6 separate regions of the Mus musculus genome follow, and all the other regions are reported to be linked to region 2. Evidence: microRNA targets listed by miRTarBase, many of them from high-throughput screens and not tested one by one. Region 2 holds a microRNA gene; each other region holds the end of a gene's coding sequence. Distances are between the middles of the regions.
What was found. Region 2 holds the annotated microRNA mmu-miR-665-3p (ACCAGGAGGCUGAGGUCCCU, at 3,624-3,643, shown strand). A microRNA usually pairs through its seed, bases 2 to 8, with sites in the 3' UTR of a target mRNA and lowers its output. Matches are read on the target gene's strand: a 7mer-m8 pairs with bases 2 to 8, a 7mer-A1 pairs with bases 2 to 7 and ends in A, and an 8mer does both.

Region 1 (5,074 bases), 65 Mb from region 2:
TCCCACTACCGTTTGTTTATGCTTTCCCTTCGAGCTCTAAGTGAGGACTTGCACCCATGCAGGAAGCTGACTGATTATAGCTGTCTTGAAACACGAGGCTCCAGGCCCCACACAGCGGGACTCAAACCTGGCTTGTGTTTGTCCCTAGCAAGCGCTCGGATTGTTTTGTTTTGTTTTTGTTTTGTTACTAGGACACACAGGATTAAACTAGAAAGGCATATTAGACACGATCTGCCCCATCATTGTCTGACTGAGGAGACAGATGTGGAGTGAATGACGAGAGGAGGCGTTCCTGCACACACACTGCTGACTGATGGTGGGGTTGGAATATGAATCCTTCTTCTCTCTTACACTGATCTTTCCACCCCACTGAGCCACTATTCAGTACAAATACTGCAGTGATATTCTCTGCTTTTCTCTCCCCGTCTCCTAAGTGGAATCATATGAGCTGAGGGTAGTATTTAAACTACTTTTGTGTGTGTTCTAGTCAATAATAAAATGTCAAACCACTGGTGGCAGACAAAAATAGCATCATTAAAGAAAGGAAGTGAGGCCATTTTAAGGACTCCCTTCCTTTATCCTCTCTCTCTCTCTCTCTCTCTCTCTCTCACACACACACACACACACACACACACACACACACACACGCACCTATACCTGACAAACATGGCCACTGGACTGGAGGCAACTCTTCCCTGACACACCTAGGCTCAATCAAGAGAAAAAACTATGCAAAAGGTTCACACAGTCATGCAGTCGCTGGGGAGAGCTGCAATCTCATTTCCCTAGTACGAACAGGCGATCATTTTCTGCACCATCGGGTCATCATTTAATTATCCAAAACCGATCCAGCCAGGGTCATTAGCCTGCTTTCTCTAGCAAGTTTCTTCGACGCAGGATAAAGCACAGGCGCCCTCTGGTGGTCAGCTGCGGAAACATCTCAAGCGGAAGTGACTCATTTTGTGACTGAAAATCCCTGAGTTCTTAGACTCCCCTTACCTCGAAAGTCCTTAAAACCCAATGAAGAAGATGGTTTATAAAGGTTTATAACTACAAGATTTTTTCTGAGGTCATGCTTAAAGTTTCAAAGTTCCTGTTGCCACGGAGCCGTGTCATGATGTAGAGTGAGGCTAAGGTTTGTTAATTTGGCCCACAGTGAGGACAGAAGGGAGGGTCCGAGAAAGCAGCCAACATGTCCTCTGTGAGAGGAATTCTGAGCTCTCTCTCTATGGCATCTCCGATTCACTTTCATAGCATGCTGTCTAAATAACTCTGAGAGCACAAGGCAGGTAGTTCTCCTGGATGCACTGCTGGGACCAGGGGTCAGTGACCAAGGGGCAAGTGGTGGAATGTGGATAATTGCTAGGCTTGGATGGAGACAGAAGAATGAAGGTGGAGAAAAGGAAGCAGATGACATATTTGTAATATGTATGAGTGTTCAAACTCTCATCATGTAGCCATGTTAAGAAATATAAATTGACCATGGCTGAGTAGCGAGGAGGTCCCACTGGTTGTATGGACAGGGCACCAGCAGTTGGTCTATTGTGAGACTCGACAAAGGAACCAGATTTGTTCACCTGTTTTCAAAGGACTCTTGCTATCTATTCCTGCGTAACTAGCCCTAACCTTTGATTTAAAAGTTCCTGATTTCACCGGGCGGTGGTGGCTCACGCCTTTCCCAGCACTTGGGAGGCAGAGGCAGGCAGATTTCTGAGTTCCAGGCCAGCCTGGTCTGCAGAATGAGTTCCAGGACAGCCAAGACTACACAGAGAAACCCTGTCTCGGAAAAAAAAAAATAATTCCTGATTCTAATTCTTATTTTTACGTTGGCGATAAAATCCAAAGTCTTTTAAAAACGAAACAAAATTGTCAGAATTTGTTCAAAAATCTTTGGAAGTACAGGTTTGAAGAAGCTGAAACTGAGGAGAGCTGGGCTGTTTACCAGTCCCTTTTCAGATGGAAGTCCAGAAGCATTGTGCTGCCGGGTACACCTGCTACACACCCACCCTCCCCCCACCCCCCCCCCCAGGAACATGACTAAGTACAAGGAGTGGGGGGGGGGGCTTTAAAACCACACTCAATTTTTCATTTTTAATAGAAAATCTGTAGTTATCTACAGGCGTGACTTCTTCATGCACAGAGAAATTTAGCATCCATAGTTATAGATGAGCAGAGACTTCACATTTGTCTTTCACTGAAGGCATTGATGACTTGAAAGGAACTTTTGTCTTTGTGCTTTGTTATGTTGAGGCAAGCCTGTGTGTTATTTTGTATTTTCAATCGATAGGCTAGTTTGTGGAGAGTGAATATGAAAAGATGAGAGTATTTAGGGCCACTTCATTTGGGGAATCACTTTAAAACAAGCTTTACCTGTACACATCAAAGGTGTCAGGTGGCAAACCCTAATGTACTCCATTGGCAAAACACTGAGGCTTTCAGCCAGCAACAGGCTGAAGAAAGGGGTGGGGGGCACGGAGTTCACTATTTCAGTTTCACAAACAAAAATAGAGTGGGGAAAAAAATTAAATCCGAAACACCACGAAAGACATTTGGATGTTTCCTCGTCCCACATACTTACTACATTCATCAACTAGCCTGCTTCTCACACAGGAGAACATAAACATTGATTGCATGTTTATTTGCACGTAATACCTATGAGCATATAGCTTCTACACTCTAAGTATATTTACAAATTCAACAGAATACCTACATATAAAAGGCTTTACTTAAAATTAAACTTGATGCAAGTTATGAGAAACCAATTTATTGGCAAATGAAACTGAGCATCCCTTCAACCATAGGTGGTCATAGGTTTCTATATTGGAGGTAAGCCATTTCACACACATTGTTTATGGCTATGATAGGATATAGTATTGTTCTTTAGACTCGAGGTGTAATCTCTTTGACTGCTGGCCTAATTAAGCACTGGTCAGGTTTCTCAGGTTCTGGAGTGTGCCTGTTGCAATTTGCATACACGTTGCTGAATGCTGCGGAATTTGAAAGCTTGTCTAGGCAGAGTGAATCATTTAGTACTTTAGGCATGCTGTTGTACGCTTTTACTTCTGCAATCATTGGGTTTTCTATCCATTTCCAACCATACCATTTTTTCCTTTTTTCAACTTGACTTGTTTGGCTAGAAACCACAAAAGACAACAAAACCATCCTGTACACCCGACAATGACAGAGCTTTGGAGGCCTGATATTTGTGTGGGGAACACCACTTCAAATAAAGTTGTTCCTATGCTCCCAGTTTCAGTTCGAATTATCTCTGCCTTGGAAAAGTTCCTTTCCAACAACAGTAGCGTAGGATGAAGTTGCCCACACTGGCTGATACAGAGTACAGGAGTCAGGGAATGCTAATTGTCTGAAGGCACTGCGTGTGTCTTGCCCTGCATTTTCTGAACTAAAATTTAAAATTTCACTTGAGAGCTTTGACTTCAATTCTTTGAGTAGGGCACAAATGCCAGCAGGTGTCACAATACGCAATGTTTATGCCCCCCAAAGGACTGAACGCAGATAGTATAGTAAGTGGGACTCTGCTGCTGTGACACCCGGAAGGATAAAAAGCCTAGGAAGGTCCGGGAGCAAAGAACAGGTTTCAGAGTCTCAGCGAGCATTAGTGGATGCAACTGTCATAAGTAACTCATGTAGCAAGTATATACTGTACACACTGTTCCTAATAGTCTCTCAAAAAGACTAACACCAGCTAGACATAGTCACGAGTTTAACAACAATGTCCACAGAGACATTGAAGCTCTAGAGAACACTACAGCAACACTCTTCACAATGACAACGGAATTCATATTTAGGGATCAGCTGAGGATAGTGCCAACAAAGTACCCAACCACATCGCAGTCACATACACAGGTGTGTCCTCTGTGCAGCATGTCTCATGCATCGTATTGAACTGGATCCCGCACAGGGAATAATGTAATCTATTGATGATGTTGTATTTCTTTTTAATCAGTTCCAAGGAAATTGAGAAAAACCCCACTCTGAACAAAAACGTATGCACTTTGCACCCCAGTTCATATTAATGTATCATTTGACTGAGTCATGTTCTTGCTCTGGTCTCATAATACTCATATACCGCAGAAAACATTCTTTCTACCCATATGTCCGTAGTATGAGAGGGATGACAGGTGTTCAGGAAAACCATTCCAGAGAGATTAGACATTGGCACAGAGCTTAAAGACTTAAACAAAGGAGTTCATTGCGTTGACAGGAGAAGGGGCCTCTGAGCTTTCATTTCCCTCTGCTGGCTCTTTCTCTTTCTTACCACTGTATTGGCCAATAAAGGAGCCATCCTCGTTGAATTGGCCGTTCACCCCCTCTCCATAGTCAACCAGACTATCATCGCTATCTTCTTTTTTCACAGTCCTGTCTGAAGGTGTTCGACTTCCTTTTTTCAAAGGCTTGTGATCTTCTGCATCACTGGGGGACAGGAAATAAAAATTTTGGTAAGACAAGCATTTAAGTAAAGCGCCTTGTTTTTTGCAGATCATGCATGCAAATTATGAAAAAGCATATGGAGGCCTGAGCTCCTGCAGCCAAAGATAACTAACTGCCAGTTGGACTCCAGGGACTAGGGTGGTACTGGAATGGAAGTCAGGCGCAGAAGTGGTTGGATCATGTCTGCAGCAGAGCAGGTGACTTTCTGATTGTACATGCTAATTTAAATGAAAGAGTCTGATGCCTGATTGGAAGGCAATTTGGAAAGATGAAAAGCATTACCGGGGCATGGCAGGGGGTTAAGGATAGCTCAAATCAACACTATCTCGATTCAAAGGAGCAGTGCAGAGCTCAGGACAGTCAGAGTTAGTGTGTTAAACTGTGTGATTTCTCTGATTCCTTGGATGTGAATGGAGCATGATTGTGGTTACATGTGATACATGGATTGTTTTTCCTCACGCAGTAGGAGAAGCAAAATCTTGCAGTTTGAATAATTTTGTTACTGAATGCAGGCCAGATTTGTGAACTTCTGCCTTACCTTTCAAAAGACCTAGAAATCCATTAAAAGGAGGCAGAGGAAACAAATGAGAACAGCCTAAGAAGAAAAGCACAGTCCTTACAC
Region 2 (5,074 bases):
CTCTGCCACCAGGTGTCACACCCATGCGTGTGTCATGCCGAGCCCCTTTTGTACCCATGTGCCACATGAAGCACTACCTTCCTGTGTGTCCTCCCCTGTGTCACTTTGAACCTCTCATCCCCATTTGTCATACCATGCTCCAGCCTATGTGCCTCAAACAGAAAAGATTCTCCATGCTTCTTACCATGAGCACAATCCACCTCTCCTGACACCTGGAGTCTTGCCTCCTTGTGTCTCTCTACTCCTGCCTCACATGCTCTTTTCCTGTGACACACTGAACCCCTTTCCTCTCACACAGACTCCCCTCGGTCACCTGTCACACCTTTCTCACAGAACCGTTCTCCTTCTGTTCATCACATGGGGTCATGCCACCTAGGTATCAAACTGGTCCTCACTGTGCTATCCTAAGTCTTTCCTTGGCCGTGTGTCCCACAGTTCCTCAATTCTCCTTTGTGTTAGGCTAAGTCCCTTTTCAACAGTGGCACTCAGAGTTATGAGCTCTCTACCCTCGCACAAGACATTTGTGTCTCTTTTCCAAGTGTTTCTCATCTAGACCCCATTACATGTCAAAACTTTCTACACCTATGTCACACACAGAGCCCCTCCCACCACCCATGAATCACAACAAGGGTCCTGAGTCACACTGCGTCTCATCTCTCCACGGGTATCACATTCAGCTCCACTCCCCTACCTGGGTCAGAGTAAGTTTCTCTTCCCTATCTTTACATGGTTTCCCACTACACCTGCTTTGTCTTGGACAGACCCCTCCCATCAGGCTGCACTTCCAAGACCCTCTGTGTTCATGTGTTAACATTTCTTATGTCTTATTGCTGGCCTCACACTGAGTCCTCTCCTCTTGTCATCCTGTGTTAGGGTTAGGCTATTGTCAGCCATGTGTCTTAAAGAGAAAATTCCATAATGGGGCACGCTTTGCCTAGCTCCACCCATATGTCCTGAAGAGCACCATTCCTCTACATGTGTCATGCTTAGCCTAACCCTTCCTACGTTCTGTATGCCCCCTCTCACACCTGTCGTGGTCACCTGAGTTCTACCCATGTGTCCTAGAGAGAGAACACCTCTCCCCACGTGTGTCATGCTTAGCCTAGCCCCACCCGTGTGCCCTGTGCACCCGAGCTTCATCCCACTTACTCCCCATTCACCTTAGGCCCCTCCCTGACTCTGAGCTCCTCCATCGTGAGAGGGCCCCTAAATCATGTGTCCCATAGCCCTCGTTCCTTTTAGTCACCACAAACCCTGCTGGTGCTCCAGATGCGGTACACGGAACTCTTCTCCTCTCGCTCTCTCTTCATGTTGGGAAGCCCCACCTCTGCACGCAGCACGTTGAGACATCCACCCCTTGCCTTGTGACATGGAGCGCTCTGCCTCTACACATACCACACTGTGACGTGCATGTCCTCCAGGTCACAAAGCAACTCATAGGTGTCACATCTAGTCCTTCTCCCCACTTGTGATGAACACTTTCCTTGACAGATGTCACACCGAGCCCCTATTTCCTCTATCAGAGCCCCTCCTCCTTATGTCCCACATGCAGCCCAGTCTCTTTCTCAGGAGTCATAGGCTCTCCTGTACAAGAGTCATACTGAGCCCCTCCTCTTTTTATGTGTCATGTTACCCCTCCTCTGCACATCACATTTACATTTTTTCTCCCCTGTACCATGGATTCTCTCCCCCATGTATAGCCTTGGACCACTCCCCATCCGCTAGATTTAATCCCTTAATCTCTCCATATGTTACTGACACCCCCCTGTGTAGGTAGGCATCATGGGATGTCCCTGTTCTTTTCTTTATGACATGAAGACCCCCTCTTTGCGTGGGATATCATATCCTTCATCTCTCCCTTGTGACATACGTCACCCTGAGACCCTCCTGCTTCCCGTGAGCCATGTCCCTATGCTCCCATACACATACATGTCCCTTTGCAACCCTCTTCTGCCCTGGATGATGTGCAGCTGTGTTCCACATGCTGCCCTGAGCCCCCCTTCTCTCTCTCCCCTGCCCCACTGACATCTGCAGCATCTTACCACAGCATTGAGCTGCCTTAACCCTTTGTCATTCACATGTCGTGTGCAGCTCCCTTCCTCCCTGGCTTAACACCGAGTCCTCCCTTCCCCACCTGTGTTCACCTGTCTTCTGGCCTCCCATCCTTACTACTCCCTCCCACCCCCATACTACCTCTTTATACCCTGCTCTCTGAGACTATGCTGGGACAAGTGTTTGTTGGCAGTTGGTGGGTGTGCCAGACAAGGAAGAGAAGAGCACAAGTCAGGAAAGATTTTTTTTTTTTACTTTATTCATATGTAAGGTGATACACATGTGCCATTCAAGCTGGCCATGGTGACAGAGGCCTGTCAATCATAGCCACACTTGGAAGCCTGAGGCAGGAAGATGGAGAAGTCGGGATCCACTCTGGATTACACAGATCCTGTTTCAAAAACAAACAAACAAACAAAAAAACTAACAGGCAAGCAAAAGCAGTTTGTGGTTTTTAGTTATTCATGGAGGAGTGTAACTCAAGTTGACACTCAAAGAACCTGGGGAGCGGTTGTTAGCTGTACCTGCAGTTTGTCCCCTCACCACACTGAGTAGCTTTTAACCCATGCATCTTTTTGGGGGATCCATCTGGGGCGTCTAAGCTCCTGCTGGTTCCCATGAGTCCCTTCTAGGTCTGCAGAGGAACCCACTGGATACTCGGGATGGACCTTAGCAGGACACTCCTGTGACCACAGTCACCCTTCCTTCCCTCTCCGCTTCCCCACCCCTCCTTCAGTGCTCCCTTGCCCCTCCTCTCTCCCTCCCATCCCTCTGCTCCCTCTCCCCCCTCCTCATCCCCTGGATTGGCTCCAGTCACTCCATGAGAGTTTATAAGAAGTGAGGTTGGGCAAGGAGGGTAGATGCTTCCACTGTGCTGCAGGTGCCCTAGGGCTGGCTGGCCTTTGGTTTCCTTCCTCTAACACTAAGCCCTGGGAGTCTGTCCTACCTGTTGTCTGTGCTTCTTGCCTTGCTTTTTCAGGAGAGGAGGGTCCCAGTGTAGTGAGAAGTTGGGGGGTGGGAACGGCGTCATGCAGGAGTTGATTGCACAGCCATTCAGCTCCTATATGATGCCTTTCTTCACCCCCTTCAACCGCGTGAGGCCTCCGGACCCTCCTCCGCGCACCTTGGGCCGCTTAGGGACGCGTCTTCAGCTCGCTCTTTTCCCCTGGCATGCTTTCTCGCCATTCTCCACAGTTCCTGGAGGGGAATACCCGGGGCTGGGCCATACCTGAGATCATTCCTTGGCGGGGGAGCTATACCCCTGGTGGGACATTCCCTGGGGCTGGGCCAAGGGTCACCCTCTGACTCTGTGGCCAAGGGTAGACAGGTCAGAGGTCGATCCTGGGCCTACTCTGGGGCTCCTCCCACTGGGATTCCAGGAGCCGTTCTCTCCTGGAGGTCCTCTGAGGGGACCCAGCTCCTAGCAGAAAGGGTGGATCCTTGAGAGATGGGGTCTTTGTTACTAGAGCAGGGCACAGGGCTGAGACAGGGCAGGGCTGAGCATTACCAGTGCTCCCAGAACAGGGTCTCCTTGAGGGGCCTCTGCCTCTATCCAGGATTATGTTTTTATGACCAGGAGGCTGAGGTCCCTTACAGGCGGCCTCTTACTCTCTCCTTGAGCCCTTCTGGAGACGTCTCACCTCATTCAGTTCAAACTCTGGATCCCCTAAGGAGTGCAGAAGATCCCTGTTCATCCTCCTCCCAGGCCGGGTGCCCACAGACACTTCAGTAGCACAATGAGCAGCTGGCGTAGAGTCTGAACCCCAATACCTAGGTCATTGCATGCATACAGGGCCCATCTCCATCCCCACAACACCACCATTATTAACTGCATTTACCAGCTATGGCAGCCAGCCCCGGCACACAGGAGCACCCTGAGTGAATAGCCTGGAAGCTGTGAAAGGATTTGAGGGCAGGACAGGGAGGACCCAGGCCACACCCAGTCCCCCTCCCCTTCACCACTGTCTCTCCCTTCCCTGTCCCCCCCTCTGCCCCCAATCTCCTTCTTCCTACTTGTGCTCCTGCACGGTCTTGGTGGCAAGATGGTCATGCGTGTCTCTCAGCTCACACAGGTGGATCAAAGTCCAGATGAGGTTTGCTGCTCAGGTCTCAGATCGTGTCTAACGATGTGGTCCCCTGGGCCCAGCACCAGGGCTTAAGGTGTATGGGACAGTTGAGGGGTGGGTAATATTTTCTTTTCCTTTTCTTACTATGGGGGTAGCCCAAGTTAGCCCAGGTTACCCAGGCATGTGGAGATCTCTGCTCCAGCCTGGTGAGGAGCTGGTAAAACTCTGGACTCAGGGTCCTGTGTGTGTGCTGTCACTGGCTCTGGTACCTGCAGGGACATCTTATAAGGGGAAGCAATGGAGAGGACAGGGAAGGTGGGCAAGGGAGGGCCCCTGCTCCTCTTTGTTCCTGGATGCTGTCAGAGCTCTCTGGTTGGGGACTGAAGCTGGGAAGTGGGGGCAGCTCCTTGGTGGGTGGAGTCTGCAGCCAGGGCCTGGCCTCTGGTTTTCACCTTGACAGGGTTGGAAGTGATGTTATCATCCCCTAGCAGGAACTTTCACACCAATTTCTTTCTTTTCTTTTCTCTTCCCCAGGAGAAAAAAAAAGGTTTGTGTTGTGTTTTTCAATCTCTATAAGTGGCTCCGCCGATAACCTGATAACCTACCGTTTTAGCACGTTTTAGCACGTCACCAGCTCTCTTCACAGTCCGGACCACCTCCTTTTGCTGTTAATGGGGACAAATCCCTGCTGGGTAGATTGGTAGGCCTGCGGGCCTTTATTGTCCTTTATGGTCTGTGTTCGTGCGGGCTGTGGGTAAACGCACCTCTGCAGTCAACATCACTGGCAGCCTCTTGGCGGGCTGCTGGCTCACTGAGTTCTCCTTCACTCTCACTTGCTTGGGGCCCTCAGGGCCTTGGGGCCCCTGGCAGTAGTCCTGACCTAAGTCATCTCTGCATTCACTGGGCCAGAGAAGTCCTCACCAAGCAGGGACAGGATTGTTTTGTTTTGTTTTGAG
Region 3 (5,074 bases), not on the chromosome of region 2:
TTTTTTTTTCGAGACAGGGTTTCTCTGTTTAGCCCTGGCTGTCCTGGAACTCACTTTGTAGACCAGGCTGGCCTCGAACTCAGAAATCCACCTGCCTCTGCTTCCTAGGTGCTGGGATTAAAGGTGTGCGCCACCAATAGACTCTTTACAAATAAGTAACCAACTGTGCAGGCTAATTCTATGTCAACTTGACACAGACTAGTATTATCTGAGAAGAATCTCAAGTGAGAAAACGGCTCTGTATGATTGGGCTGTAGGCAGGCCCAGCCCATTGTGATTATGCCATCCCTAGGCTGGTGGTCCTGGGTTCCATAAGAAAGAAGGCAGAAAGCCGGGCATGGTGGCACATACCTTTAATCCCAGCACTCAGGAGGCAGAAGCAGGTGGATTTCTGAGTTCAAGGCCAGCCTGGTCTACAAAGTGAGTTCCAGGACAGCCAGGGCTATACAGAAAAACCAAAAAAAAAAAAAAAAAAAAAAAAAGAAAGAAGGCAGAGCAAGCCAGTAAACAGCATCTCTCCAGTCTCTATATTAGCTTCTGCCTCCAGGTTCCTGCTGTTTGAGTTCCCAGCCTAATTCCCTTCAGGGATGGACAGTAAGTGTGAAGCATAAACCAAATGAACCCTTTTCTTCCCCCAATTTGCTCTTGGCTGTGGTTTCATCATAGCAGTAGTAACCCAAACTAAGACACTTAACTGAGCAGGATTCCATAGGGTGTAATCATAGGGCACGGCCTTTGGGGAACTAGCTGCTCTGGCAGAGATTATTGTGCAGCTTGCTACTCAGAAATGTTGGGCTAGGATCCCAGGCCCTGGACTGAGAAACCTCTTACTCAGGCTAACATTATGCATGCACAAGTCTTCTGATCTATGTCTACCCTAGAGTCTCACTCTGGAGCACTGAAGGTATGTGGGGCCCATTCAATTTGTGTATGTGTGCCTACGTGTTCATAGTGCACACATATGTGCCTGTGCACACATGTGGAGGCCAGAGGTTGATGGTGGGTGTTTTGTTAGAGACAAGGTCTCTCTTCATTGCTTTGGCTGCCCTGGAACTCACTCTGTAGACCAAGCTGGCCTTCAACTCACCGAGACTCCATAGTGAGACCACTTCAAAACCCCAAACCTTATGATCTTCCTATCTCTACCTCACGAGAGCCAAGATTACAGATATGAGCCTCCAAAACCCAGCCTTGCAATGTTGACTAAAAACCTTAGTTCTAGGCTCAGGTCTCTTTCCATCTGCTAAACTTGTCTCAACTACCCAGCTGGCTATCCAGTTGCTCAGGAAGCCAGAAACTACCCACCTTACCTTTCTCAAACCCTTTGTTGGTGAATCCTCCCCTGGGCTTTGTTGAAGTATTCAACACATCTATCCCTCTCTTGTCCCAACCTCCTGATCCTGCTAATGTCACCTACTCTGATACTCACATTCTCCTCCCACTCCACAGATGGCTCACCTCTTGGCCATTCCCCAATGCAGATTCCCTACAGCAGACAGCATTGTCTTTCAAAAATACACACCTGCTCATCTTATTAACCAGCATTAAATCTTGGCTCTAGACAGCAAATGTGTGGCTCAGTGAGGTTTCTTAGCTTTTCTTCTTCAGGGCCAAAGATTTCCATTTCCAGTATCTAACACACCACCCAGTACAGAACAGACGCTGGGTGTAGTGCCCATATTCTGCCAGATACTACTCAGATGCTAACAGCAAGGCAGGGACTTCAGGCCTACTCACCAAACCTGAGTGCCAATGCAACCTCTACATCCTTGGCCTGGGAGAGACACCTTGCCTTTCGGTTAACCTCAATCTCCTCAACTGTTAAGTTAGAATACTGCCTTGAGGGGATGGAGAAATGGCCCGGTGGTTAAGAGCACTGGCTGCTTTTGCAAGAGACCTGGGTTTGATTCCCTGTACCCATGTGAGATCTTACAACTGTCTGTAAACCCAGTTCCAGGGGATCTGATACACCCCAATGGCCTCCATGGGCACCAGGCACACAAGTAGTGCAGTTATACATAGAGGCAAAAAAAATCCCAACCAGCTTTGAGTGACACAGTGCAGCTCAAGGGCTCAGTATAGGGCAGGGCACAGTGAAGCTCTCACGGAGATGGCAGTCTTACCACAGCCACCCTCACCCCCATAATCAATTACCACCCATATAAACCAAGGGTAGAACTCAGGATCTGGTATTAAAACTCCAAGAAGTAAATGATAAAATGAAATCGTGAAGGGACAGGGACACGGCTCCACAGAGTAGGGACAACCATGCTGCAGACCCGTGACTCACCTTCAGGAAACAACGGTGTGTACCACTAAGGAAGAGCTGGCAGGCTGCGTCACCAAGCTCCCTTCCTCCCTTATGTACATGGACTCACTCCACCACATTACCCTGCGCGGCTTAGGGTGTCACTTCAAGTGTGACAGGAAAGCTAAGGCCCTATGTGTGACAAAGGCTTACCAGAGCTTCAAATCATCCAGCAAACAAGGGCTCCAGTGACCCATCCAGAGAGCCTAGAAATCCCCACAGGACTACACAGCCTTCCACACGAAGAGATCTTATTTAATACAAAGCCATAAAGAATCCACTACGTGAGCTGGAGAGGTGGCTCCTCCTAGAGGATCTCCGCCTCCCCGCCAGCACCCACTTCCCAGACTCACAACGGCCTGAAGCTTTAGTTCTGCAGGATCTGACCCCTCTCCTGGACCCTGAAAGCACACACATACACATAAGTAAAATAAAAATAGATCTTTATATGTAAAAAAAAACAAAAAACAAACCCACCAGTTTTCTATTATAAAAATCCATAAAAAGAATCGTATGAACTAAGAGGCTGCATTTGCAAGGTGAAAGGCTGAAAAGGCTGAAAGACGATTAAAACTATACAAATTCTTTTTAAACTAAGTGGAACCTAAATTAAGTAAACACTGTTAGTCAGTGCTATGTAACGTGGCTATAAAATTCAGCAAGCAACCACAAAATTCTTTCCTTCTCTGTTTCTACTTCTCTGACCCAGAGCTTTTTCTATGCACTCAGATTGGTCTTAAACTTTTGATCTCCCTGCCTTGGCCTCCAGAGTCCTGAGATTACAGACCATTATGCTGAGCTCCAATCAGGACTTGTCTGAAAGTGAAAAGATACTGCTATTTACTTTAGAACAAAAAATCCCATAAAATTAAAAGAACCATGCTGGGCGTGGTGGCGCAACACCTTTGATCCCAGCACTCGGGAGGCAGAGGCAGGGGGATTTCTGAGTTTGAGGCCAGCGTGGTCTACAGAGTGAGTTCCAGGACAGCCAGGGCCATACAGAGAAACCCTGTCTCGAAAAACCAAAAAAAATAAAAAAAATAAAAGAACTAGGCACAGTGGTGAACACACACCTGTAGTCCCAGCTACTCTCGGGCCTGAGGAAGAAGTCATCTGAGCCCAAGTGTTTGAGGCCAGCCCTGGCAACTCAATTCCTTTACCCTACTCCCCACCAAAAGGAGACATATCTATGACATGTGTCCCATAGAGAAGGTAGTGTGGGACACTGTTTTCCCTGGTGTGCCTTGCTTCCTCAAAGTCAAGGCTGACTGGCACAAGCACCCTGTGACATGTGGTTAGCACTCTAAAGAAGTAAACAGTTATGGTTCATGACTTTGTATTCCATTCCTTCTACCCTCCCCCACCCCACTGCTGGAGACTGTACCTAGTGGTTTATGCATGCTAGGTAAGTGTTCTAGCGCTGGGCTTTACCCCTGGCCCTCTTTTTATGTTAGGACAGGGTCTCACTGACCTAGAATTAATTCTGTAGTCCAGGCAGACTTTACATCTATAACCTGTTTCAGCCTCCCAAGTATCTGGGATTACAGGTCTGAGCCACCTGCCTGACCTAGAGGTGGGTTTAACATGAAAGCTCTCCTCTTCCATGAGACACTTAACCACACAGTGACCAAAATAGCTGAGATGAAATTTCAATGGGTATTAAGCCTCTGGCCAAGCCCCTCTCCCCAGTGATTCTAGCTTCTGCAGGTGAGAAGCTGGAAGAACTGTGGGTTGGTCTACTGCATGTGTCTCCCTGGGATTGCTAATTTTCTGGAGGATTCTGGGCCAGGTGCTGTTCCCATTCAACTTCAACCAACTTGTACAGCTCCATTGTGGCCTGGGCATCTTCCACCGAGGAATGTCCAGTATTTCCAACCTAAAGGAAAAGAACATGAAGACGAGAACTGTTGCTTTTCCCAGACAACTGGACTCCCTGCATCCCGCTAGTTGTCTATACTTTCTCTTCTATAGTTTATGAGTTGTAGTCACAAGTCTACTAGGGCCCTCCTCCCTAGCACATTTCAGTTTCAACTCCCAGAAGGCCTGCTCATTTGAGTGACGATGCATATGTATCTTACTATTAAGCTCTGCAGAGGCAGGACATTTCAGGTCAAACAGACTGTCTGGGTCTTCTTTCTTAAATGTTCTCTGTGTGACATGTACCCAGAGCTCCATATTCTGTGGCCATGTCCTTGACTGCTGAGCATGTGAAATGCTGAGTGCTCTTCTTTCCCACTGTACCATCTGGCACGGTCTATAAAGCACCCAGGATTTATTATTTCTCCTTGCAGACAGGGCTACCGGGTCACCTTTGGTGGGGGCACTTAGAGAGAAGTTACCTGGATGTCCCGACTCAGGAGCTTCTTGGTGAGATGCTTCAGTGACAAAGTGACATTTTCTGGGCAGTCAGCCTTCCGGTTGAGGAGTGGTATCCGGGAAGTGTCTCTGGTGAGGGACTTGGGATGAAAGTACTGTAGGGCTTTGTAGTCATTGTGAATGGCATGCCCTATCACTACCTTCCCTGAGAGTATCTTCAAGATCTAGAATGGGCACATAAGGAGGTAATGAGAAGCCATACTCAAAGGTGGAGCTCCTTAGATTGTGAAGGCCCAATATGGCCATCACCAACATACCACCCCATCACCTCCACCCTCACCCCATTCTTGAAATGCCCCCTTCCACAACTGTTCCTCCTTCAGAACTCCAGCTCTCCCTTCCCTAGAGAACTGCTATGCAATCCTGTTTGGATCTACATCACCAGAGGTC
Region 4 (5,074 bases), not on the chromosome of region 2:
AGTTTTATTTTCTTTCAGTGGTTGGAATATTCTTGGTCCAGGGAGTGACCCTATTAGGGGGTGTGGCCTTGTTGGAGTAAGTGTGTCACTGTAGGTGTGGGCTTTAAGACCCTTGTCCTAGCTGCCTGCAAGCCAATGTTCTTTAGCAGCCTTCAGATGAAGATGTAGAACTCTCAGCTCCTCCTGCACCATGCCTGCCTGAACACTGCCATGGTCTCCCCCCCCACCGCCCCGCCCCCAATGATAATGGACTGAACCTCTGAACCTGTAAGCCAGCCCCAACTAAATGTTGTCCTTATAAGAGTTGCCTTGGTCATGGTGTCTGTTCTTGGCAGTAAAACCCAAACTAAGATAGAAGTTGGTACTAGGAATCTCATTTCAAGAAAAAGAGAGAGAGAGAGAGAGAGAACACTAAATCAAATAGGATAGAATTATCATTTTTCTGAAAGCTCTAAATTCTCCCTATTCTGCTTGTCATATAGCCTCTTATGAATGGGAATGTTAAACTATTTAATATAAATATAAATCATTGGTCACAAAAGCATAAAATCCCATCGGCTTTTGTTGTTTTGTTTTGTTTTTTGAAGCAGGGTCTCCCTGGGGCAAAGGATGGCCTCCAAAAGTGGCTGTATTCTTCTACCTTCTATTTCTACCTTCTACTGAACTTCTCTCACCCTCCTACCTCCAAGTGCTAGGATTACAGGCATGCCTGCCTGAATTCATGTGGTGCTCAGGATTGAGCCCAGAGGTGACAGGATTTCCCATTTCATGTCCAGCCATCGTCACATCTTGCTTCTAGAATATTTGAGTATTCTGTGCAAAAGCATAGAAAGGAAATCTTTCCAAATGAGTTTAACTTAACATTCTGAGGGGGAAAGGGATATGCGTGCACATACCACACGCACATACCACATACATACCACACGCAGAAACAGACACAGTTTATTTAGAAGGAAAAAGGGCTGAGATGACAGATGCTTGGGAGCACAGAACCTACTTTACAAAACAATAATGTAGAATGAGTATAGAAAGATGCTCAAAATATGTTAAATACTACGACAAAATCATGTACTATTATAATTACTGAGACTTACGTATGTGCATAAATATGTTGAAGAAATTTTTCTTCTTATTATTTTTTTAATTTTGAAAGAGGGTCTCTGTGGCAGTTTGAATGAGAATGGTCTTCATGGGTTTGTATGTTTGATGTTTGGTCCCCAGTTGGTGAACACTTTGGGAAAGATTAGGACCTTGTTACAGGACCTGTGTCACTAGGGGTGGGCTGAGGTTTCAAAAACCCATAGTATTTCCAGTTAGTGTGCTCTAGCTTGCCCCTCTTTCTCTGCTTCCCACTCTCAACTATGGCTCCAACCCCATGTCTGCCTGCCTCCTGCTACATGCTCTCTGACATGACAATCATGGACGCTAATCCTCTGGAATCGTGAGCCTCTAAATTAAAGACTTTCTTTTATAAGTTGTCTTGCTCATGGTGTTTTCTCATGGCAATGAAAAAAAACAAAAAGCAAAATTAAGAGTCTCTATCACGCAGGCTCCTGCCTCGATTTCCTGAATGTTGAGAATGTGGGATTAAGTCCCCCAATCAATGACCACCTCTTTAAGACTAAAGAGAAAAAAAAGTTATATCCTTTATTATTTATATGTGATAATTTTAAATGTTATCTTCACAATGTCAATTTAACTTTTTCATTTAACTGAAAAGGTCAATAATGAAACATTTTGTAAATAATCACAATGTCCTGTCACTAAGATAACAGTCATAGTAAACACCTAGAAAGGGGGACTCAAATAAAGCCTAGGGGAAGTTTCTGGTGACTCTAAAGATCTGAGTCAGGTGTAATTAACCCTAGGATTTGGGCAGAAGAGACAGAAAGGTCAATGCAAGTTCCAGGCCATCCCAGTCTACTATTGGAAGCTCAGGCTAGCCTAGCCTTTAAAACAAAAAAAAAAAAAAAAGCCAGGCAGTGGTGGCACATGCTTTTAATCCCAGCACTCAAGAGGCAGAGGCAGGTGGATCTATGAGTTCAAGGTGAGTCTGGCCTACAAATCACGTTCCAGGGTAGCCAGGAAACCCTATTTCAAACAACAACAACAAAACCAAACAAAATCTAAAACTATAATGGTATATAAATTCACTTCTGTGATTTTGAAGGCTACTCTAATAAAAAGTAATTTCAGGTAAAAATTAGGACATCTAGGTTTTTTAACTTTTTACTCTTTTATGTGTATGGGTGTATATCTATATACCACATGTGCCTGGTCCCCTTGGGGATAGGAGACAGGATCAGGTCCCCTAGAACTGGAGTTATAGATGACTGTGAGCCACCATGTGGGTGCTGGGAGTTGAACCCAGGTCCTCTTAACCACTGAGCCATCTCTCTGGCCCCCTAAGTCATGTAATTTATAGCCAATATACTAATAGAATTATATGCATCATTTGTGCCTCAGAGATTCATGTATTTGGAAGCAAGTCCAAGTCTAGGCATGGTGTCGATATCTTTCCTCTCTGCACGTGTGAGGCTGAGGCGTGAGTTCAGAACCAGCCTGAGCTGTGTAACAAGTGCTAAGCCAGCCAGAGTAGGAGGTCTCACAACACAGGCTGCCTTCCTAGTTTACCTCTCCCATTTGCCACTGGGACAGGGGAAGGGGACGGCAGCCAACAGTGACTTGCCAAGGATAGAGGCAGCAACTGCAATGACTGGGAACCAGTCCTTGGAACGTGACGAAACTAGAAATGTCACCTCAAAATGGGATGTTGGGTGAGGGAGTGCTCGGCCTAATATGTCAAGCTGATTTTGCACCACTGTGAGGAATTTTCAGGTTTCAAGGTTTTAAACTTGTTTCAGACCAAAAGAAATTAGAAACCACATTACAGGTTGGTTTTAATGGACAACAGCAACAAGAACCAAAAACTCTCTATAAAAAAATCTAAGCTTTATTAAATACTTCAAAAACACACATAAATTCAAATTTAATACAGAATCTTTAACATTATCTTTGTTCATCTCAACAAAATTTAAGGGAATTTCTGGTAAAACTTTACATGTGGCCTGACTAAGCTAGTGGCACACACCTATATTCCCAGCACTTGGAAGGTGGATTTCTGAGTTTGAGGCCAGCCTGGTCTACAGAGTGAGTTCCAGGACAGCCGGGGCTCCACAGAGAAACGTTTTCTTGGAAAACCAAGCTAAAACAAACTTCATGTGAAAAAGGAGGGCCTAAGTGCTTTACAATTCTGTACATGCACACAGACACACAGCCATTTGAAAGGCAGAACATAAACACAGTGTGAGTTTGAATAGGAAAAGAATGTATTTTTCTTTTTTTAATAAAGCTTACATTTTAAAAAAAGAACAAAAAAAAAAAAAAAAACACCACACTATGCCAAAACAAGACAGGGGAGGGGAGAGCAGGGCGGAATAGCTCATTTACTTAAACAGTTTTGAGAATATCATTCACGAACAACGAAGCCTGGGGTCAGACACGCTTGTCTCTCTCACCTCTAGCTCTGGGCTGAGGTTAGTGTGACATTGGGTGTCTGTCTGTCTGGGGCTTCATTATCGCTACAGTGGTAAGGTATGGTTGCCTCCTTCAGTGGGAAGTCCGTCAGTTTCCAGCAGAGCCCCAGAAAGACCCAGTGGTGAGCACTGGCAGCAAAGGGTGGCATCTGGTGTTGTCAGAAGCCCCTCCACTTCATCTGCGTCTCCTCACCCTCAAGTCACTGTGTCCCCAGATGTTTTGGGTTTATTAAGGGGATAAAAGAAGATTATCCGTCCGTGGGATTTATCATTCGGTCTACCCCAATACACATTAGCCAAAATCACACTCAGCTGTGGTATTGCAGGTGAACCAAATTAGAAATCTGGAGCCTGTCTTAGCACTAAAGGGAAGGCCTGCTGGAGCTCAGCTGGAGAAAGTGCCTGCCTAGCACGTGAGGCTCCGAGTTCAAGCCCAGCACTGCAGACAGAAACAGACCAGGTGGCAAAAGCTTGTGATCCCAGCTCTTGGGAGGTAGAGGCAAGAACATGAAACCCTGTCTCAAAAAAGGGAAGGAGAGATTCTGTTTCTCCTCCTCACAGTTGTGAACAGAGCAGAGCAGAGCTGCCAACAGGCTTGAGGCAAGAGAGAGAGCTTGGTTTTATGAAGACAGATGTTCACTTTTATATCAGTAAAATGTCAGAGCTCTATATCACAAAACTAAACATCTTCCTAGAAAACATCACATGACTCCCATTACCACTCTGCCCTCTACAAACCCTAATGACGGGGCTTCTTACTGGTATCAACAGGGGCCAGAAAGTAAGGAAACTGCTGGCTCCATGTATAGCCAGTGATCAGAGGAGCCAATACAGGACTCTGGGATTCCTCCTTGGGACCTGCTCGCCCTGCACTGGACACGCCTCCCCCCTCCCCCCAACATTCAGATGTGCCAGGTTCCTGAAGCCCTTTAATCTCCAGTCATGTCCCCTTCAGAAGGTGAAGAGGGGAAGGCAGCAGCAGCCGTCGAAGGTCGGGGCCTCACCCTACTTGAGAATGACATGATAGCTGTCACTGGTTTCTGCTGGAGAGATGGAGAGAGAGACGTGATCTTTAGCCTCCTGTAGAGCAGCAAAGGGCAAAACTATCTTGTGAGAGGGAATAAAAAGTCAAACTGAGCCAGGCAAATGGCAGACATCTTTTTTCCCAACAGGGTCTATAGCCTTGGCTGTCCTAGGACTGGCTATGGAGATGATGCTACTTCCCTGCCTCCTCTTCCTGTGTGCTGGAATTAAGCAAATTGGCTTTCAATATTGTCACCTTATACTGGGTCTTACTAGGGGACCTCACCGTAAATTGAACAGCTACAGAAACAACTCTGATTTCCTCACTTGCTAAGGGGAGGCGTAAGAAAATGGCAGAGCTGTCAGAAGTATTTTCCCCTGATAACAGCAAGAAGACACTTTACAAAGAACAGTGTCCACTGAGGACACGTCCCTATCTCAACACAAGGAGGGAAGACGTATTCCTGGGAATAATGCGCCTGCCTTTAATCCAAGCACTTGGGAGGCTGAGTTAT
Region 5 (5,074 bases), not on the chromosome of region 2:
AGTGTTGTTCTGTGGTTGTGCCGCCAACGGACTTCATCATGGTGTGACCACAGGGGGCTTGTCTGTGTGGGACGTCAGATGTGTATAACAGAGCCTCTACCAGGCTTTGCATCTGATTTCTTCTGATTTCCTGAACTCTTGTTGCCACCTCTGTTCACAGCTTCAGTTCCCCTTGCAAGAGTTCATCTTGGCCATGGGTTTCTTCCTGGTCCTGGTGATGGAGCAGATCACGCTGGCTTACAAGGAACAGACCAGTCCACCCCACCCGGAAGAGACAAGGGCTCTACTGGGCACAGTGAATGGTGGGCCTCAGCACTGGCACGATGGACCAGGGATCCCCCAGGCCGGCGGAACTCCAGCAGCTCCCTCAGCCCTGCGTGCTTGTGTCCTGGTCTTCTCCTTAGCCTTGCACTCAGTATTTGAGGGCCTGGCTGTAGGGTTGCAGCGAGACAGGGCTCGGGCAATGGAGCTGTGCCTAGCTCTGCTGCTTCACAAAGGCATTCTGGCAGTCAGCCTGTCCCTGCGGCTGCTACAGAGCCACCTACGTGTGCAGGTGGTGGCTGGCTGCGGGATCCTCTTCTCATGTATGACACCTCTGGGCATCGGGTTGGGTGCAGCTCTGGCAGAGTCAGCTGGGCCTCTGCACCAGCTGGCCCAATCTGTTCTAGAGGGCATGGCAGCTGGCACCTTCCTCTATATCACCTTCCTGGAAATTCTACCCCAGGAACTGGCCACTTCTGAGCAGAGGATCCTCAAGGTCATTCTGCTCCTAGCAGGCTTTGCCCTGCTCACTGGCCTTCTCTTTGTCCAAATCTAAGGTGCTTCAAGAGAAAGGGCAGGGGAGGTTGGCTATCAGGTGCCCCTGTCCTCCCTCCCTACCCTTCTCAATTGGTGGGAAATAGAAAGAAGTGGAGAAGGGAAGTAGTGAGGACCAAAGAGTTCTCTTAGATATAGGGATGGGACATTTGGACTATGAATAATGAGATGGAAGTGGGCAGAGAAGAGGCTAGCCCCAGACCCAAAGAATAAGAGATAGCGAAGTTACTACAGACGTGGTCAGGGACATTAGAAGGAGGCAGACTGCTACAGTCAGAGGCCAGGCAGTACATCTCAGAGACAAGCTGACAGAAGAACTGAGAGTTAGGCATCCAGCCTCTTTGCGATAAAGATACAGAGGCTGTAAGTCAAAGCCAGTATCCTGTTGGTTCTAGCCCATCTCACCACTCTGATGGCTGAAATGGTTCCTCCTCCTTTCTTCCCTCCTACTCTTATATTTCTCTCTTGTCTTCCACTAAGGGACTAGTGCCAAATGGTCTCTCTGCCAGTTTTCGTAATTTATCTGGCCTCTCCTGTCCTCACCTTTTTGGGTTGCTCTGTGTAGCCTTGGCTGTCCTGGAACTCACTCTTGTAAACCAGGCTGGGCTTGAGTTTACAGAGCTCCACCTGTCTCTGCCTCTGCCTCCTTAATGCTGGGACTAAAGGGGTGCCATGCCACCACTGCCTAGCTCACTAGTCTGTTGTTAAAGTGCCAAATACCCACCCACCCACCCTTTAGGTTTGTTTGCTTTTTTTTTTTTTTTTTTTTTTTTTTTTTTTTGACAGGGTTTCTCTGTATAACCCTGGTTGTCCTGGCCTCAAACTCAGAGCTCAGTCTGCCTCTGCCTCCTGAGCACTGGGATTAAAGGTGTGTAGCACATGTATTGCTCACCTGCCCCCTTTTTGAAAGCACAGTGCTGAGGTGCTGGGGCCTGCCTAGCACCTCAGTGGAGACCTATTTGCTCTTTTATTTAGGCCCCATAGTTTGGGGTGGGGAAGAAATATTTGCTGAACTGGTCTGGAGTGAGAGAAAAGTAGGTACTGACACCAGACACTACAGAAAGTGGACATGGTGGTCCATACCTAGAAAAAAACCAATAACCTGCCAAAACTTTATATCTGAGGAGTCCGGGGTGGAGGGAGACAGACTCCCTCCCCCAGGATTATTTTTGGGGAGGGAGGGCTGTGCATAGGTCTGTACTCTGTAGAATCTATTTTACTAACTGACCTGTTTTGGGATATGTTACCCAAATAAAAGATGTTTCTATACACTTCTATGGTATCTGATTCTGTGTGTGTGTGTGTGTGTGTGTGTGTGTGTGTGTGTGAGAGAGAGAGAGAGAGAAGAGATGGTCTGTGTGTGTGTGTGTGTGTGAGAGAGAGAGAGAGAGAGAGATGGTCTGTGTGTGTGTGTGTGTGTGTGTGTGTGTGTGTGTGTGTGTGAGAGAGAGAGAGAGAGATGGCCAGTCGTGTGTGTGTATGTGTGATGGCCAGTCGTGTGTGTGTGTGTGTGTGTGTGTGTGTGTGTGTGTGATGGCCAGTCGTAGAGGATATGAATCTCAGTTGCATACAGTTGATTTAAGATCCTTGTTTTCACTCACCCCACTTCTCACCTTTCCTGAGGATGACCAAATTTCTCTTTTTTCTCTTCCTTTCTGTCTCCACCCCTTCCCTTCCTCGTTTTTTCTTCAGCTTCCTTGGGGAATCCCTCTCCCTTTCCCGTTCGTAGGCTCGGGACTGTTGTAGAACTACCTTTCCCGGCTTGCTGTGCGCCGGGAGTAGGTGAGGGGTGGCGTGCGTGCCTGCCTCCCGGGGTCACACGACTGCTGGGAAGTGATGTCCGCTTCCTGCCCTCCCTGCGTGTCTGAGGGCGTAGAGGAAGCCCGTAAACAAACTACAAGTCCCAGAAGGCGGTGCGTCCGGAGTCTGGAGTAGGCTGGGGCCGAGCCGCCGGGCTCGCGGAGGCGGCGGCGGCTGCTGCTAAGGCTGAAGGAGCCGGGCCGGGCCCGCGGCAGAGGCCGTGGCTGGAACTGGGAAGGTGGCGGGGACGGACGCGGGGGTAAGATGGCGACGTCAGGGGCGAACGGGCCGGGTTCCGCCACAGCCTCAGCGTCCAATCCACGCAAGTTTAGTGAGAAGATTGCGCTGCAGAAGCAGCGTCAGGCCGAGGAGACGGCGGCCTTCGAGGAGGTGATGATGGACATCGGCTCCACACGGGTAAGGGGTCATGCCTGGGAGCCCGATCACTGAGGAGCGGGTCCCGGAGCGGAGAGGCGGGGCGGGGGCGGGAGCCGCAGGGCAGGAGGCGGAACACTGCTGGGACAGCGGGCGCCGCCGTCTGGGTGGCGTGGGGTGAGGGCCCAGGGTCAGTTAGATGAATTTTGCCGGGAAGAGGTGAACACACTGGAGAAGTCGTGGGAGTAGTAAAGACTGGGTTGGAGTTATTTACATATGAAACAGGGGTCGCAGGAGGAGATGGACCGCCGAAAGTCCATCGGCAGGGGAATGGCCCTTGTCTATCCCCAGCCGAGTCCTTTCAGGTACTCCACCGAAGCATCCTCAATCTTGGATTATGTGTTGGGAGCATAGTTTGTTTTATCCCTAATCTGACCCTTTCTGAATCTGTGATCACAGTGCCTGTGCTCTTATGGGACAACTAGGTTCCAAGGGGAAAGGGCCCCTCGAGTGGTTTGATCGGGCTGTGCTGGGTATATTGGGACAGGAAGTCCCCTCCTGTGTCCCTTCCCTTTGCTTCCTTTTTCAAATATTTCGTGTGGTTTCCTGACTTGAGTCAAGGTGAAGACCATTGCGCACAGTATGGGTCTTGGTGTATGGCTCTGGGCGACTGTGAGGAAAGGTAGAGCTTTGAATCGCCTAATTGGGCTAAAGAATCACCCTTTCCTTTGACTGGGGATGTGCTGAACTCTCTAGGCAGGTGGTGCTACCTGTGGCTCAGTGTCTGGAATGCTTTCTAGAGTCCTGTATGTGTGGGAAATACTCCTTCCTAGGAAGTTACACAAAGAAGCATCGGGCCTCAGACAAGTTGTTTTTGGAAGCACACCCCTGACCCCTGCCTTGGTTTCTTGCTTCCCAGGGCAGGTTGTGAGGGAATTAGGGTAAACACTCAAGAGTTTGCAGGTAAGCAGCCCCAACTTAGGGACACAATTATTTTTAAAACAGCAGGTGAGGGATATTGCAGTATCTTTCATAATAAAGAGCTTGAAGGAAACTAAGGGGAGATGATGGAGCATAAATACCATATTTCAAAGCTCTTTAGTTCTATATATGACTGACTGACTGTATTTATGTGTGTATCTCCCTCTACTCTTTGAGTCCTGTGTGTGTTTCCCCTTTGATTTTTCTAGAGACCACATGTTCTAGTTTATGAGAGTTCAAGATAGATAAATAGAGATGCAAATCTGGTGTGTGTGTGTGTGTGTGTGTGTGTGTGTGTGTGTGTGTGTTTATAACCTCCTCTTAACCACCATGAGGATTATGAACTATTGACTGCTCCCTTTAAGAGCTTTTGATTATGGTGGGGGTAGAGTTAAGAAGATGGGAGAGAGGTTTATTTCCAGTGGAGAGCTTGAGGCTCTGTACTGTGGACCAGAGCGAGTGTGTGCACGTGAGGAACGAGAGGCTGGGCCGTCTGTCTGTGTGGTGCTTTCGTAGCGCTTTCCTACCTAGTTTTCTCTTGCCGATTAACTTCTCTGCGGCATGGCAAAATGGAGTGACCATACATGGCCAGAGCCTAGATATACAAGGATCTTGAGTTTGGCGTGAAAGGCTTGCCTTGCTACCTACCTGGCTGACTGGGAGGGTGTGCTAGAGGCAGAGACGGCCATGGTGGCATAGACCTCTGAGGACTTGGAGTCTATTCATTAAGCCCAGAGATGAGCATCACTACCCACTGGCATCACCGAGCTGATCTGGAGTAGAAGACTGGTTCTGATCAGTTCTGAGCATCAGAGTTTACCCTTCCTCGAGTACTTTCCTCCTTCCCGTGCCCGTATCCCAGCTCTGTTTGGCTGCGAGCTGTGTCTGAGCCTTGGCAGTAGTTACGTATGTCTCATACAGAGGTCCATGTGACATAGAGAGAGGCTAACACTATGGCCAACGGAGGGTTCTTTTGTCTCACTTCCTTAGCAGACATCTCTACAAACTGGCAGGAGATGGCCCTGCCCGAAGTTGGAATAGGCTACTGTGCCCTCTCCCTCCTCTACCAGTTCAGTCTTCTTAGCATCCAGTACAAGAATAC
Region 6 (5,074 bases), not on the chromosome of region 2:
CGGGGAAGAGACAGAGCCACGATTGTACTCAAGCCTTCACTTTAAAAAGTTGTACGAACAAAGGAGGAAACCTTCCCACATTCAGCTATTAAAATGGATTTCCCACCCTATGCCGTTACCATGGAGACTGGGGTACAGGCTATATGTATTTAGTGCTCACATTCTGCACTGTTATTTATCTGATGATTGGCCACAGGGAGGAAATTTTGGATTGGGCATATTCTATGAAACAGACATTTGCAAAACTGCAAAGGGGTCCATTAACCATCAGGATGCAGCCAAAGTATATTTTTCCTTTTTTTATTTCTCTCTCTCTCTCTCTCTCTCTCTCTCTCTCTCGAGACAGGATTTCTCTGTGTAGCCCTGGCTGTCCTGGAACTCATTCTGTAGACCAGGCTGGCCTCGAACTCAGAAATCCGCCTGCCTCTGCCTCCTGAGTGCTGGGATTAAAGGCATGCACCACCACCGCCTGGCTTATTTTTTTCTATACTTTAATTTGACCATTGTTAATGGTCACTTATTTGGTGTTCCTGCATCCATCCTTGTTTCTCTCATCACTCAACAAAGCAGCTACAATGGTCTTCCTAAAAGGCACTCAAATCCCATGACTACAAATCACCTAAGTTCAATAATTTTTTTTAAACACAAACCACCCTAGACCCCCAAAGCCTCCAAGTCCTTATTGTTATCATGACTTACAATGGACCTCAGGAACTCTGTGGAGTCCTTTACATCATGTCTCATTCACATCAGCTGTTCCTTATTAGCAGGCACCTTCCCGGAATCTTGGAGTCCTCAGAATTGCTCTTTGCTCCTATAAGGGCCATTTTAAATTAGAATCTGCCCCATCAGCAATTGTAAAAAACAAAAACAAAAACAAAAAAAAACAAAAAACAAAACAAAACAAAACTCCTTTGGCTGGGCAATGATGGCATACAGCTTTAATCCTAGCACTTGGGAGGCAGAGCCAGAGAGATCTCTGAGATTGAGGCTAGCCTGCTTCATTTACAGAGTGAGTTCCAGGAAACCAGGACTATATAGAGAAACCCTGCAACAACAACAAAAAGAAGAAGAGGAGAGGGGGAGGGGAAGGGGGAGGGGGGAGAGGGAGGGGGGAGAGAGGGGGAGTGGGAGAGAAAGGGGGAGAGAGAGAGGGAGAGGGAGAGAGGGGGAGAGAGGGAGAGAGGGAGGGAGAGGGAGGGGGAGAGAGGGAGGAGGAGAGGAGAGGGAGAGAGAGAGGGAGAGGAAGAGGGAGAGAGAGAGAGAGGGAGAGGAAAGGGAGAGAGAGAAGGAGAGGAGAGGGAGAGGAGAGGGAGAGAGAGAGGGAGAGAAAGAGGGAGAGAGGGAGGGAGAGGAGAGGGAGAGAAAGAGGGAGAGAGGGGGGAGAGAGAGAGGGAGAGGAGAGGGAGAGAGAGAAGGAGAGGGAGAGGAGAGGGAGAGAGAGAGGGAGAGAGAGGGGGAGAGAGAGGGAGAGAGGGAGAGGAGAGGGAGGGGGAGAGAGGGGGAGAGGAGAGGGAGAGAAAGAGGGAGAGGAGAGGGAGAGGAGAGGGAGAGTAGAGGAGAAGAAAAGAGAAACTATTTTCTCTCTTTTAGGGAATAAAAGAGTGAGGGGGAAACTTCTTTCTCTTTTTAGGGGATAAGACACAGTGTAAAATCATTGTCTATATTTAGAAAATGTAACTGTCTCACTGACCAAAAGAATGAAACCTACATCACCATTTCCCTATCTCTTGTTGCAAAACTAACTGACAGAGCTTATGGGAAATAAGGAAGATCTCATACAATTAAAAAAATATTGGAGAATAAGAGATTTTTACATTTCAAATACTTTTATTTTTGGTAAATGTAGCTTACAAAATCGCAATATAAAAAACAATACATAGTTACATAGAAAATCCAAACATCAAACTGATTTAGACAAATGAAACAAGGTTTTTATAGGCTGTGTGTGCTGCTCTTGCACAACCACTGTCTAGGTTTTAAGATCATTCCAAGTCACATGAAACCACATTTTGGGAAAGCTTTGAGTTGTTGATGACTCTGTAAGTCACTCTGTAAAGGACTAACACATTGCACCATGGTGAACCACCCTGGAATGCCATATGGAGAAAATATAACAAAATATAACTCAGACTTGACAGCTTCAAGTTGATTTCTTCAAAAAACCTAAAACAGAAATGTTTGCTAGTTTTATGCAACTATTGGGGAACTGTCATACGGAGGTAAAAATATAAAGAAAAGCCTACAGATCCCAATGAAGGAATACTGGGGAGTTAGGGGATAATAACTAGTTAAAATATGAGTTCATATGGAACTAAGATAAAAACTCTTTAATATGATAAAATCAATGAATGGTGGCTTACACTGCCAATCATAGCACTCTGGAGGTTAAGGCCAGCCAGTGTGAGTTTGAACCCAGCTTAGGCAACAGAGTGAAGCTAGTCTTATAAAAATAGAAACTCTTCACATATTGTTGTCAAACAACAAAAGAGAAAATGTATATCTAATCACCTGATTAACTGTAAAAGGAGCACATATATGCAAGGTTTTGTGTTGATTATGTATAAAATTGTTTTACATGGTAAAAAAAAATCAAAACCCAGAAAGACAATCATTTTATTATTTTTAAGGAAAAAAATTAGTCATGGTCACATAAAAAGGCTTGTGAATAAGCATACAAATCAGTAAACACTGTTTACAAAGAACTAGGAGACGTGATTTTCTCTTCAGTTAGTATGTAAGTAAATGCTGAGATTGAAGGAGAGACTTCCTCTAACAACTAGTGCCATTTTCACATGATCAGAATTTGAATTTCAATCCCAACACACATGCCTCTGAAGGTATATAGAGTCCTAACATTAAGGAACTATATATCATACTTTTTGAAGTGCTCAAAAAAAAAAAAAAAAACAAAACACAGGGCATTCAACTAAGGAAGCAGGCTTCGAGCCAAATTCTAACTTACACTGCAACTTTTCACCAGTCAAAAGAAAATGAGAAAATTAAGGACAAAAGAGTAAAACTCCGGTCACATAAGCTTAGAGGTCCCAAACACTATTTGCTTAGCACCTATTTCCAAGAGTATACTTCTTACAAAGTCAATATTAAGTCATCCTCAGACTGAATATTTTTGAGTTTGGCAGTGTTTCTCTATCTAACTCAGGCTGCCCTCAACTATGGGATTCTGCCTTAGCATTCCCAACGCTATGATTACAGGCTTGAAACAGGATTCCCTTTTAACAGTTTTGAGACAGGAACTTTGCAAGTCAAACTGGCCGGAACTCACATAAATCCCCTGCCTCATTCTCCCTAGTATTTGGACCACAGGCATGTGCCATCACACCTGCTTGAGAAGTAAGCTGGAAAACCTGGGATCAGTGTGAAGCCGACTACATACAGTTGTGTAACCTGGGCAAGTGGGCTGCTTTCCTCATCTGTAAACTCCAGAATAACATTAATTTCTTCAGAACTATAGAAAGGCTCAAATGAGAGACTATCTACAGGTAGTTCCTAACTCTAACTGCAACTTAACAGGAACCAAGAAATGACCAGAGCAGTGTTGATTACTGGGTCCAGGCCATAGGTTCATATTGAACTGTATAGGCTTGGCCCTTGGCACCAGTACATTTCAATGTTCTCCAGAAAATTCTAATATATAGTCATTCCTGAGAACTTCAGGCCTAATGCTATGTATGTCAGTGATTCTCAAAATACCCCAGAGGATAACCTGGGGACTCTGTTAAAATGCAGATCAGGACTTAAGGAGCAAGAGTTTCATCTCTAACATGCTCTCAGGTAGTGTGGAGCTACAGTGCCACTCTGAGTAAAGCACTAAGTGGCCACAAAGTAGTGTGATAGCTTTCTATGGCCTACACTCTGGCAAATAACTCTCTTTCCTTAGTCTTAGGGTTGTAGTAAGAGCAGTATATAAAGCCAGGTGCGCCTATAATGCAAGCACTCATGAGACTGGGCCACCTTTGGCTATATAATGACATCTTTCATGAACTAAAACCCAAAGGCAAAAATAAGATTAAGATTTTGTTAAAAAAAAAAAAAAAGAGCACAAGCCGGGCAGTGGTGGCGGACACCTTTAGTCCCAGCACTTGGGAGGCAGAAGCAGGTGGATTTCTCAGTTCGAGGCCAGCCTGGTCTCCAGGACAGCCAGGGCTAAACAGAGAAACCCTGTCTCGAAGGAAAACAAAAAAAGAAAAGAAAAAAAAAACAAACTAAAAACAAAACAACAACAACCAAAAACCAAGCACAAAAGGTTAGGTTATACATATAAAACATATGCCCTTAAAAGGATTATTTACAAATCACAAGCATACCCAGTTGTTATGGTACCACTGCTCCCCACATTCATTACAAATGACATAGGTCATTTGTTCATCTGGGTTTGAATTCTGCACCCAACTTGGAAGGAAAAGTGTTCCTCTGGCAATCACAGTGACCTTGCAGTTGTATTTATCACAGCGCCTACACTTAATTTTATTTGTCCATGTGCCATCAACTGATTGGGGAAGGCAATGTTCTTGAATGCTGGATTCTGTGTAGGAAGCTCTCAGTTGCTTGAGTTCCTGGCTTGCCATGTCCAAGACACTCATTTCAGCAAACTCCCTTGCAGACATGGTTCCAGAGAGGAAGTTTTGTTGTAAATGAAAATTTCTGGGGTTTTTCAAATTGGCAACTTTGCTTCGAATACTAGTTTTATATTTTTTGATATTGTTTGAATGAAGGGTAAAAATGTGCTCTTCAATTTCTCTTGCTAAGTTCTGCCATATGTGCACTTCTGTGTGATCTGTGCAAGAACTAGCTAATGCTGTGTAAAGAAGTTCTACGCACTTAGATCTCACAGACACTAAAGTACCTTGAAACACACCTGAGCTCTTGCGAGTGCATTCAGAGTCATCACCCTTCAAATATCCTTCATTAATTTCCATTTGAGCAGTGCTACTTTCAGATCCAATTGCTGCAGCAGGCTTTGCAGCATCTTGGGGTAACAGCCTAGAGAGAGAACTGCAGAGACCCATGATCTCACTATGGCTAGAGCCTGAGGTTTCATCCTGGCTTACAT

Region 1: the mRNA of Nrcam is a reported target of mmu-miR-665-3p. Seed matches in the 3' UTR shown: 7mer-A1 at 1,746-1,752.
Region 3: miRTarBase lists Isg20l2 as a target of mmu-miR-665-3p. Seed matches in the 3' UTR shown: 7mer-A1 at 3,287-3,293.
Region 4: miRTarBase lists Tfcp2 as a target of mmu-miR-665-3p. Seed matches in the 3' UTR shown: 7mer-A1 at 3,157-3,163.
Region 5: miRTarBase lists Slc39a1 as a target of mmu-miR-665-3p. Seed matches in the 3' UTR shown: 7mer-A1 at 1,391-1,397.
Region 6: the mRNA of Tceanc is a reported target of mmu-miR-665-3p. Seed matches in the 3' UTR shown: 7mer-A1 at 4,152-4,158.

The regions. Positions count from the first base shown.
Region 1 is chr12:44,597,710-44,602,783 of GRCm38, reverse strand. It overlaps Nrcam (neuronal cell adhesion molecule), which reads right to left. Exons shown (of 31, transcript NM_176930.4): 31 at 938-4,434. The coding sequence ends at 4,197. Among named protein-coding and RNA genes, the nearest start is that of Nrcam, 270 kb to the right of the region's middle.
Region 2 is chr12:109,582,745-109,587,818 of GRCm38, forward strand. It overlaps Mir665 (microRNA 665), which reads left to right and starts at 3,570; the gene lies at 3,570-3,663. Mir337 (microRNA 337) reads left to right here and starts at 3,045; the gene lies at 3,045-3,141. Mir3544 (microRNA 3544) reads right to left here and starts at 3,129; the gene lies at 3,069-3,129. Mir540 (microRNA 540) reads left to right here and starts at 3,336; the gene lies at 3,336-3,402. It also overlaps a transcript of Rtl1 not described here.
Region 3 is chr3:87,938,348-87,943,421 of GRCm38, reverse strand. Isg20l2 (interferon stimulated exonuclease gene 20-like 2) reads right to left here. Exons shown (of 4, transcript NM_177663.4): 3 at 4,648-4,848; 4 at 2,736-4,184. The coding sequence ends at 4,071. Among named protein-coding and RNA genes, the nearest start is that of Crabp2, 7.8 kb to the left of the region's middle.
Region 4 is chr15:100,499,865-100,504,938 of GRCm38, forward strand. Tfcp2 (transcription factor CP2) reads right to left here. Exons shown (of 16, transcript NM_033476.3): 16 at 2,884-4,579. The coding sequence ends at 4,542. Among named protein-coding and RNA genes, the nearest start is that of Csrnp2, 7.2 kb to the left of the region's middle.
Region 5 is chr3:90,251,526-90,256,599 of GRCm38, forward strand. It overlaps Slc39a1 (solute carrier family 39 (zinc transporter), member 1), which reads left to right. Exons shown (of 4, transcript NM_013901.2): 4 at 161-2,087. The coding sequence ends at 817. Crtc2 (CREB regulated transcription coactivator 2) reads left to right here and starts at 2,333. Exons shown (of 14, transcript NM_028881.3): 1 at 2,333-3,033. The coding sequence starts at 2,881.
Region 6 is chrX:166,498,002-166,503,075 of GRCm38, forward strand. Tceanc (transcription elongation factor A (SII) N-terminal and central domain containing) reads right to left here. Exons shown (of 5, transcript NM_001007577.2): 5 at 1,811-5,074. The coding sequence ends at 4,317. Among named protein-coding and RNA genes, the nearest start is that of Tceanc, 9.9 kb to the right of the region's middle.